Callithrix jacchus: one gene and its partners. The protein of the gene in region 1 interacts with the protein of each later gene in a pairwise test. Links are inferred from orthologs where the notes say so. Each region holds a gene or a part of one and is shown on either strand. Other genes may lie near its edges. The genes, in order: TRIM63, CKM and MYOT.

What was found.
Region 2: the proteins of TRIM63 (region 1) and CKM interact in a two-hybrid assay, tested with the Homo sapiens proteins (2 studies listed by BioGRID). The link is inferred for Callithrix jacchus from reciprocal best matches to the Homo sapiens genes TRIM63 and CKM.
Region 3: the proteins of TRIM63 (region 1) and MYOT interact in a two-hybrid assay, tested with the Homo sapiens proteins (2 studies listed by BioGRID). The link is inferred for Callithrix jacchus from reciprocal best matches to the Homo sapiens genes TRIM63 and MYOT.

Annotation. Positions count from the first base shown.
Region 1 is NC_133508.1:62,720,166-62,723,915, forward strand, and holds the start of TRIM63 (E3 ubiquitin-protein ligase TRIM63), read right to left. Parts: upstream 2,282-3,750; 5' UTR 2,142-2,281; coding exon 1,983-2,141; intron 1,081-1,982; coding exon 908-1,080; intron 1-907. UniProt on the Homo sapiens protein: E3 ubiquitin ligase. Mediates the ubiquitination and subsequent proteasomal degradation of CKM, GMEB1 and HIBADH.
Region 2 is NC_133523.1:39,484,325-39,487,810, forward strand, and holds the end of CKM (creatine kinase M-type), read right to left. Parts: intron 2,869-3,486; exon of another isoform or gene 2,755-2,868; coding exon 2,631-2,754; intron 1,868-2,630; coding exon 1,678-1,867; intron 1,147-1,677; coding exon 968-1,146; 3' UTR 612-967; downstream 1-611. UniProt on the Homo sapiens protein: Reversibly catalyzes the transfer of phosphate between ATP and various phosphogens (e.g. creatine phosphate).
Region 3 is NC_133503.1:36,291,554-36,295,203, reverse strand, and holds part of MYOT (myotilin), read right to left. Parts: intron 3,231-3,650; 5' UTR 3,020-3,230; coding exon 2,664-3,019; intron 1-2,663. UniProt on the Homo sapiens protein: Component of a complex of multiple actin cross-linking proteins. Involved in the control of myofibril assembly and stability at the Z lines in muscle cells.

The DNA of each region.
Region 1 (3,750 bases):
TCACTGGCACCCAGGCCGGAGTGCAGTAGCATGATCATGGCTCTGCAGCCTTGACTCCCTGGCTCAACAATTCTCCTAGTAGCTGGGACTACAGGCATGCCCCACCACACTCAGCTGGTTTTTAATTTTTGTAGAAACAGGATCTCATTATGTTGCCATGACTGGTCTTGAACTCCTGGCCTCAATCTGTCATCCCACCTTGGCCTCCCAGAGTGTTGGGATTACAGGTGTGAGCCACCACGCCTGGCCTTCTCTCCCCAGTTTGAGGCCAACACGGTACAACTTCCACCTCTCACACAGTTTGCCTGTGAATGAGCTGCTATTTTATTACATGGAGACTCAGAGCTAGATTGACTGGGTTAACTCCTGGCTCTTTCACTTCCCAGCTGGGAAACCTTAGCTAATTGACTTCACCTTTTTAGCCTCAGTTTCTCATCTGTGAAATGAGGATAATAGAGTCATGCCTGATCCACAGAATGATTGGGAGGTGCTAAGATGAAGCCTTCCCAGTGCCTGGAACTCTTCCTCCTGGCACACGGGAGAGTAGTCATTGCTATCCTTATGGACAACCTGGCTGTTTCCCACTGGGCACTTTCTCTGCTGACCAGAGCCACTAGCTGGCCCCAGGGCTTTTCTTTCCCTCCCACATCTCAACTTTCCCTGAGTCTCTGTCTTAGTCTCTCCTGGAAGGGCAGCCTCATGTCTGGGTCCCTTCCCATCCACTGAGTGATCTGAGAGCCAGGTTGGGGTGTATGGGTCTCCAATCCTGTCTCTGAACTGGCTTGTGTAACTAGTCCAGCTAGGGGCCTGGATCCTGAGCAGATGAAGGAGGGGGAAGGAGCCTGGGGGAGCTGGGCACAGCATGGCTGGGAAGGAGGATGGACCCCCAGCAGGCATGAGAACCGACCTGGAGCACTCCTGTTTGTAGATGTCGATGATGTTCTCCACCAGCAGGTTCCTCTGCAGGCCATACACTCCGTGACGATCCATGATCACCTCGTGGCGGCAGGTGGGGCAGCGGAAACGGCCTCCAGACATGGACACTGAGCTGCCCCGGCTGGTCCAGTAGGGATTTGATGCCTGCAGGTGGCAAAGGTCAAGGTGAGGTCTGGGGTCCCTCCTCAGCCTTTTCCTTTTCTAATCTCCTCTTACCCTTTCCTCTACCTATCTCAACCACTCTGGTCAAATCTGAGGACCTGGAGCTCGGCAGGCTGCAGTGAGAACCAGTCCTCACACATGGAACATCTGAGAAGCAGCTAAGCAATTATCAGGACGGGGAGGCAGCAGACCTGGGTTAAAGTCGCATTTATTCTCCGAGTGATTTTGGGCAAGCAACCTTATCTCTCTAAGCCTCAGTTTGCCCACTTATGAAGTGGGTATTAGAATTACAGCAAGCTCCTAGGGCTGCTACTATTAAGATAAAATTGTGAAAATTTACACATTTTGTAAAGTGCCCCTGGGGAACCGCGCATCCTGCTACCTAGCCAGGACACCTGCCCCCTTCCTTTCTTGGGGAGTTAAAGCCCCTTCTGCTCCCATATTGTAGGGAACAGCCTCGAAAGGAAAGAAGCCTCTACTGCCCACTGCCTCCTTGACACCCTCCTCCCAAAGCTCTGGGCCTCTTGCCACCAGGAGCTGGCTCCAGCCCCACGGGTCTGGTTTCTCTCTCCTGTCCCCTGCCTCCCCCGCTTATCACTTGAGGCATTTGACTCTTGATTGGAGAGTCAACAGCAGTGCTCAGGGTAGGGGTGGAGGAGCTATGGGCAGGGTGGGGAGGGGAAACATGCGTCATGGAGAAGGACGGTGACAGCCAGAGCTGCCTCCCAGCCCCTCTCAACCCTGTCCAGAGGCCTCTGTAAGGGTTCACTTCCAAGGGGAAAGAGCCCATCCCGCTTGGAAGGCTAAGCATGAAGAAGGGTTTCATCACAGGTAAGCTGAGCAGCCACCTGAGGCCCCCAGATGAGACTGCCCCTGGCACTGACCTGGAAGATGTCGTTGGCACACTTCCGGCACAGGTTGTGCTGGCACGGCAAGATGACCACTGGCTTGGTAAACATCTCGAGGCAGATAGGGCAGATCAGCTGCTTCTCCAAGTTCTCCATGGGGTTCCCATCCTGGATCAGGCTCGACTTATAATCCATTCTGTGGGTCAGAGTGAGAGCCGCACCTAGTTGCCTCCTCTACTGACTTCGCTCTAAGTAGACCTGGGCGGGGGTCTTGCCTTTGTCAGGAAACACTGTGTCGGATCCTGTTGGCTTCCTTCTCCTGGTGCCCGAATTCTGTCTTAGTCTGAGGCCCCTCTGATATTTATAGCTGGATCTTGGTCACATGAGCCCCAGGAGCAGACCAGCTGAGCATTCCGATGCCAAGCGGCTGGTGGGGCTTGAGTTTCCTCCAGACCTGAAAGACTGGCCCTCTCAAATCACATGCAAGGATGAGCAATCACTGTTCTGCTGGGACGGGGGTCATAAACAAGAACAGCTTGTTCAGAGGCAGGCTTAGGGGAAGACTGGGTACCCAGAGCTTCCTCCAGAAATTGGTCTCCCCCCGGCACCAGGCTAGTGGGTCAGGGATGGGACCCAACAAGTGAGCCACTGGGATTCAAGGGGTTAATAGCCAGTGCCCCCTCATTGACCTAAATCAGTTCCATCCCCTCCTCTGGAGTCCTGGGCAGCTCCTAGATGGAGGGGTCAGGCAGCCCCTCTGTATCCCTCTGCATCAGACCTCAGCACAGCATTTTGCTGGGTAGCAATGGTAGCGACCTCCCCCAGCCCATCCTGCATCCCTCAGCCACTTATTTCACTTAGTGCTGAAATGCAGTCCAGGCCCCTTGTCTTATAGATTTTGAAATGGGACTAGAGAAGAAAAGGATTATATTCAAAGTCAGTTAGAAAGTAAGTGGCAGCCGGGCGTGATGGCTCACATCTGCACCACTGCACTCCAGCCTGGGTGATAAGAGCAAGACTCTGTCTCAAAAAAAAAAAAAGTAAGTGGCAAAGCCAGGAATATTATTCATTTATCAGACATTTTTCTGAGTACTAGTGTATATCAGGCAACTAATATACATTATAGGGTGACAGATGGATGAGTGATTGGTTTCCCTGCCCTGAGAAACTCACACCCCAGGAAGGGAGATAGAAAGGAAAAACCCTCATGCGGTGCCACAAATCCCTGCCTGGACACTTAGAAGTTAGCCAGAGGGGGCCGGGCACAGTGGCTCACCCTTGTAATCCTAGCACTTTGGGAGGCTGAGGCAGGTGGATCACCTGAGGTCAGGAGTTCGAGACTAGCCAACATGGTGAAACCCCATCTCTACCAAAAAAATATAAAAATTAGCCAGGCATGGTGGCACATGCCAGTAATCCCAGCTACTTGGGAGGCTGAGGCAGAAGAATTGCCTGAACTGGGGAGATGGATATTGCAGTGAGCTGAGATCACCGCACTGCACTTCAGCCTGGGGAACAGAGCAAGACTTTGTCTCAAAAAAAAAAAAAAAAAAAAGTTAGCCAGAGGCTTTCCTTAGCTCTCTGCACATATTTTAACTTTTCTCCATGTTTCTAGGATATCTTCCATGTTGGCATGTAGGAAAAGATGGCCAGGGGCAGACCTGTGTTACTTAAATGATTACAAGCTTGTTTTGTTTTTTATACACTGAGATTTGTGCCATGGATCAAATACTGAATTAAGAAAACTCCAAACTATGGTGCAGTAAAATAAAAGCAGAGATCAAGTGGTAGCAGGAGGCCTATG
Region 2 (3,486 bases), on another chromosome or scaffold:
CAGCGTGGACCTTGGGATTGAGATCTGAGCATGGCTAATTCAAAGCTAGAGTTGGAAAGGGCCCATGCTTTGGGAGAGTGACATTGGGCTTAGTGCCTCTTGAGGTCTCAGATTCCCCGTAGAGCCTTCTAATTTATTTTTTTAAATCTTTTCTTCTTTTTTTTTTTTTTTGAGACAGAGTTTTGCTCTTGTTGCCCAGGCTCGAGTGCAATGGCATGATCTCAGCTCACCGCAACCTCCGCCTCCCGGGTTCAAGCGATTCTCCTGCCCCAGCCTCCCAAATAGCTGGGATTACAGGCGTCTGCCACCATGTCTGGCTAATTTCTGTATTTTTAGTAGAGACAGCGTTTCTCCAAGTTGGTCAGCTTGGTCTGGAACTCCTGACCTAAGGTGATCTGCCCGCCTCGGCCTCCCAAAGTGCTGGGATTACAGGCGTGAGCCACCACGCCCGGCCAAGCCTTCTAATTTTTGGACTAGATTCTGTGACCTAACTTTGCCTCATTTTAGACCTGAGATAAGACATGTTTAGTACATGCCTAGACAAGACAAACCTCTCCGAGGCCGCACAGTGGCCAATTACACCTCCTCCCTCAATAACTATCGCACAAAGCTAAGGCCACCATTGTTTTTATTTATTGCTTTGCGTGGAGACAAGTACGAGCTCCGGATGTGCTGGGAGCGCTCCATTAATTAGAGCTCCTGTTGGGGGCGGAGCTCTAGGAAAAGAAGAGGACCCTGCCAGGGAGATTTTTCACTGGCCAGAACCCAGAGGATGGAGGCCATTGGTTGGAACTCTGGTTGAAACTGGAAGTCTGAGAAGGGTGGAGAGAGCCCCCAGAAGACAGAACCATCACAGGGTGGGATTCCGGGAAAGGGGGCGGGGCAAGGAGTGAGGGGGCGGGCCTCCGGTGGGCCAGGCCCTCCCATTGGCTGGGTTCCAGCAGTCGGTGGTGGCTGGGCAGGGCGCCTACTTCTGGGCGGGGATCATGTCATCGATGGACTGGCCTTTCTCCAGCTTCTTCTCCATCTCCACCATGAGCTTCACACCATCCACCACCAGCTGCACCTGTTCTACTTCGGATGAGCCCAGCCGATCAGCGTTGGACACGTCGAATACTGAGCCCACGGCAGCTGTGTCCACGCCACCTGTAGGAGCAAGGGACAGGGGCATGAGGAGACAGCGAAGGTTGCAGAGTGGCTAGGATGTGGTGGTCCCCTTGCCAAATGCAACAGCTGCATGTGTTGAGTGGCTACTGTGTAACAGGTTACCTGCACACAGGTAATGCCTGTCTAGTCGTGGGCTTACAAGTCTCTGGATTTAGATAGGGTACCACACCACTCGATTATCCAACATGAAAATATAGTATAGTGGGTAAGAGAGTGGGTTCCAGAGGCAGGCGGCGTGGGATCGAATCCTGACCCCTCCTCACTTTATAAATGGGGAAACTCGAGAGAGGTGCAAGGGCATACGCAATGCATATTATATAACCGTGAAAATCCCTCATTGACTCCTATGACGTGGGCGTGTTGGCGCCCATTTTACGAGGAAGAAATGCAGGCTCACAGACGGTCAGCCCTTGCCGGATACCCAGAACTCATGGGGCTGTCCAGCCTCCCTTTCCACTCCCGAAAGGGCCCGCCCCACCCGTCGTGGTGCAGGGGATGTGGGAATCGCACCTGTGCCCCTCTTCTGCAGGCGCAGGCGGGTGAGGATCTCCTCGAACTTGGGGTGCTTGCTCAGGTGCGCCAGCTTCACATGCACGCCTCCACGCAGCCCAGTGCCCAGGTTGGATGGGCAGGTGAGCACGTAGCCCAGGTGCTGGTTCCACATGAAGGGGTGGCCGGCTTTCTTAAAGATTTCCTCGATCTGAGATTGGGGGAGAGGACCAGGGATCAGCACCAGCAGGCACCTCCAAATGCACCCGCCACATGGGCAGGGTCCAGAAAGGCGTGGGAACGTGGGTGAAGATGGGATTCGGAGGGAACCAGGAGGTAGGAGATTCCGAGGGTACTGGCTAGACAAGGGTGACCAAGGCAAGATTTTGAGGAGGCAGGGACTAAGAACGATTTTTCTTTTCTTTTTTTTTTTTTGACAGTCTTACTGTGTCACCCAGGCTGGAGTGCAATGGCGTGATCTCGTCTCACTGCAACCTCCGCTTCCCAGGTTCAGGTGATTATCCTGCCTCAGCCTCCCGAGTAGCTGGGACTGCAGGCGCGGCGCCACCACGCCTGGCTAATTTTTTTTTTTTTTTTTTTTTTTTTAGTAGAGACAGGGTTTTACGATGCTGGCCAGGCTGGTCTTGAACTCCTGACATCAAGTGATCTGCCCTCCTCAGTCTACCAAAGTGCTGGGATTACAGGCCTGAGCTTCCGCTCCCGGCCTGAAGGCGGGTCCTTAAGGGCGGGGCTTGGGCGTAGGGTGGTGCTGGGTCGAGGGGCGAGGCCCTGGAAAGTAGGTGGGGCTTGTTTTGAGGGGCGGGACTTGGTATAGGGGTGGAGCCAGATCCGGGGGGCAGGGCCCTAGAAAGTGGGTGGGGCAGGGCTTAGTATAGACAAGGGGCGGGGCCTCGGAAAGCCGGTGGGGCGTTCCAGGTGGAGTCAGAAGTCGGCAGTAAAGAGTGGACACCCACCTTCTGCAGCCCCACGCAGAAGCGGCGGAAGACCTCCTTCATGTTGCCCCCCTTCTCCATGGAGATGACCCGGAGGTGATCCTCCTCGTTCACCCACACCAGGAAGCTCTTGTTGTCATTGTGCCTAGAGTAAGGTGCCACAGCAAGAGGCCAAGGTGTCAGCTCCGGGGGACCCATTCCCACCCCTCTCCCAGACTTCGGCCCACCGCCCGGGGGAGGCAGGCCTGAGGGTTGGAAGGTGGGTGGCATCTACCTCCTCCAAACGCAGAAGCTTAAACCTGTAGACTAACGTCACAGGACCTGCAAAACCTTGAATCCTGTGATCAAGGGCTTTTAGGGGCTTAAATCTTTGAACAGCACTGTTATAGATCCTTGGGATCTCAGGAAGTTTGACAAACAGAAGCTTGGACTCAGAATTGATAACATCTTGGAAATCCTGATGTAGGATTTCCCATCGCACTGTGTTAGCTCCCAATCCTAGCATCTCGGAAGTGGAATCTTAGAACATAAAATATTAAAATCTGGAAATGCTTGGGTGCGGTGGCTCATGCCTGTAATCCCAGCACTTTGGAAGGCCGAGGCTGGAGGATCACTTGAACCCAGGAGTTCAAGACCAGCCTGGGCAACATGGCAAGACCCTCATAGCTACAAAATTTAAAAATTAGCGGGCGTGGTGGCACGCACGCCTGTAGTCCAAGCCACTCGGGAGGCTGAGGTGGAGGATCGCTTGGCCTTGGAAGATCCAGGCTGCACTGAGATATGATCCCACCACTGTGCTCCAGCCTAGGCAACAGAGCAAGACCCTGTCTCAAAAAAAAAAAAAAAAATCTGAGGGCGTGCACTGTGGCTCACACCT
Region 3 (3,650 bases), on another chromosome or scaffold:
GGCCAGGCTGGTCTCAAACTCCTGACCTCAGGTGATCTGCCGGCCTTGGCCTCCCAAAGTGCTAGGATTACAGGTGTGAGCCACCTGTTTTTTTTTTTTTTTTTTTTTTTTTTAATGCTAGCTTACCATCTTTGTAAGTCACACATTTGTTAATGCGAATTACATTAAATAATTGTTTTTAGACTTGTCCTATCTGGGAAATTCTTAATATATCTGAAAAATACTGAAGGATTATCAAAATCAATCCTGAGAATCACCGATGTATATGTAACCTCAGTTACTTTGTTCACTGAATACCCTCATTATTACCAGTTTAGTTAGCTTAAGTGTTAGGACTTGATAAATGTTCCTATTTACAAACTAATAGTATGTTTGCACACTGCTTTATAGGTTCTTTCTCTATGATTAATTACCTAATTCCTTAATATTGCTACAGACCAGAAAACTGAAGCACTGGGTAGTAAAGTGCTTGCTGAATTTCATATTGAAAGCTTTTTGGAAGAATAATTGAGTTCCCCTCAATTTTCAGTCTGTAGTTTGATCAACTGGGTAAAATGTTTGCTTAAGAGCTTCCTATTGATGAAAACCTAAATAAAGGTTTCAGACTTCTCTAGGTCAGAATCCAAGGGATCATTTTGGAAGTCAGGGCAAATTGGAGCCCCTCATAACAATGAGGGAGTTGTGCACAAATGTTCAAAGGGCCAGGGCTTTCCACTCTGTACAGCTGGACAAAATGGGTATCAAGTGGCTATGGGAAGATTAAAGATTTATCTGTGGTTGCTGAAAATGGAACAGCTAAAGCTGGATCTTTGATCTCTGGTTTGGGGACCTCCTAGGCTTTATTTCTTATTATAGTTTTGCGTTTCTCTCTCTCTCTCTGTTTCTTTTTTTTTTTGAGTTGGAGTCTTGCTCTGTCTCTCAGGCTGGAGTGCAGTGATGCAATCTTAGCTCACTGCAACCTCTGAATCCCAAGTTCAAGCGATTCTTCTGCCTCTGCCTCCCAAATAGCTAGGATTACAGGTGCCTGCCACTGTGCCCAGCTAATTTTTGTATTTTTTAGAGAGATGGAGTTTCGCCATGTTGGCCTTGGCCAGGCTGTTCTAGAACTCCTGACCTCGGGTGATCCACCCGCCTTGGCCTCCCAAAATGCTGGAATTATAGGTGTGAGCTATTATGCCTGGCCTCTTTCTCTTTTCTTAGGTTTTCAATAACTTTCTTTTATGGGGAGTAATTTGGAATAGAACTGAAAGACTTTACTAAGAAAAACAGAAAAAGTTGTTTTACATTTTAAAATGCTTATGTAGGAAATATGGAAACAATAGAAAGCTAGATAGAAAATGATCATCAGGGTAAATGTAACCAGGAAAAATCTACTATATATCATGAATATTAAGGGAATTTGGGAGGGAAGAGAAAGAAAGGGCTCTCAATTATTGAAAGCATCCTTTTAAAATATTAGGTTAAACCTACGAGAATGCTATTTTTGTAGGTCAAAAACAGTTGATTATCAGCCATTTCAAATGGTTCGACTCAGTATCTGTAGGATTCTAACATGTTTTTGGTTTTCCTGATTTTTAGTTTTTTAAATATTGAAACTTTTTTTTGCAAGCTGAATTGCTATAGTCGGTTCAACTAGGTTTCCAAAGTTGTCACCAAAAATAGAAATTTCTAGAAAAATTAGCCTCTAGAGAAGATTGCGAGAAATTAGTGGAGTTGAGTGAATGTATCAGTAAGCCTGCAACAAAACATATTCCATTGGACAATTATTGAGATGCCTCTGATTCAATTCTCTGAGTGTTCCAGCCAGCCAAGGAACAGGAAATCTGATAGCCTTTAGTTTGCATAAGCACAAGGTATTCAGTTCATGTTTTAAAAAAAGCCTAACCATCATGTCCTTTTTCATATCAGGTTCTCCTAGAACAGTCTTAGGGCAGTAGAAATAGCACATGTTTTCATAAGGCCTCAGTATTAGTCCCTGTATTTAGATCAACCCAACTAATTTGAACAAGGTGTGGTTTTAATTAACAGAAGAAACCTTAAGGTCATAAGCCTTCATCTATTCAGGCTCTCCTTCTGATCATAGTAAGGAAAATGTATACACTCAAAAGTCTGAGTTCCAGATTTTTTTTTATTTGTTAATTTAAAATTTTTTCAGCCAAGTGGATGTTCGGGATTAGAGGGGAAAAGGGAAAGGAAGAAAAACTGAGAAGAAACTTAATAGCCTTTGCTTATGTGATAGGAGGAAATCCTATCTGAAGATGAGCAGACAGGTGTTCATCTCAGCTGAGCCCAGAACCAGAGGAATTAAATTTACAGCATGAGGAGCTTAGCTTAGAACTAAAGGAAAAGTTCATTGTTCTTAGGTATGTGAGGAATTGTTTTTTCAAAGATGGAAAATAATGGGTAAATAATTTTATGGGGTAATAGGTAATTTGGATTCAGCTCAGCCTGGACACTGGAGAATTGTCAGATGATCTCTTATTACCAGTATGCTGGTTCAGCATGTTCTATTAGAACTATGGAATGAGACTGTAAGGTCACATTGCCTTTTTAGATAGTAAAAAATGAACTGCAGCATAATCCTAAAACTCCTAACCCCCACCCCGCTGCAAACTCCTCAGATACAAGTTCACTGTACATGCAATATGTAAAAATTCACTTACTTGGAATCCATCGGGGAAGGGATTTTACTGCTATTGTAATCAGGCTGTGATGGTAATATGGAGCTGAGGAAGCTGGCTGGGGACTGGTTATAGGTGGTTGTAACCCTTTGGCCTGGGTTGGAGCCAGCAGGCTGCTGGGGAGAAGCAGGGAAAGCAGGGGAGGACATGGTGATGTGAGAGCTCACTGTTGAGGAGGCAGAAAATCTTTGTTCTGTACACTGGCGGGGCTGGATGATAATGGAAGACTGTTTGGTCTGGCTAGAGAAGCTGGAGGTTTCTGGTCCAGGAGGCTGCAGTCTGGGGCCACATGGGTTTTGAGACTGGATGAAGTGTTTTGGACGTTCGTAGTTAAACATGCTTAGTTGGTATATGGAAGATGAAGGCACGTTATTACTATAATGATTTGTTCCTGGAAGGGTGGAGCCCTGACTTTGGAGCCACAAGCCTGGAATTATGGAAGGTTGCCAGGAATCAGAAGCAACCTTGGTCTGCTCTTCCTCGTTCAGATCCTGAGAATACTGTGCTCCTGGCTGTGGTAGAGTGAGCTTCTCTTGAAGAATATTGTTCCTTCAAAAGGAGAAAATAATTGTTACAATATTTGCTTAAACAATAATATTGCTTATTTGACATCTTTCAGATCTTATGTGCTTTTTCTTTTCTTTTTCTTTCCTTTCTTTCTTTCTTTTTTTTTTTTGAGACAGTGTCTTGCTTGGTCGCCTAGGCTATAATAGCTCACTGCAGCCCCTCCAACTCCTCGGCACAAGCGATCTTCCCACAGGCAATCTCGGGAAGGACTACAAGTGTAAGCCACCACCATGCCTGGCTAATTTTTCTTTCTTTCTTTTTTTTTTTTGTAAAGATAGGGTCTTACTATGTTGCCTAGGCTGGTCTTAAACTCCTAGCCTCAAGCAGTCCTCCCACCTCAGCCTCCCTTGGTACTGGGGTTATAGGCATGAGCCACTGCACCCAGCTGAGTGGATGTTTTTT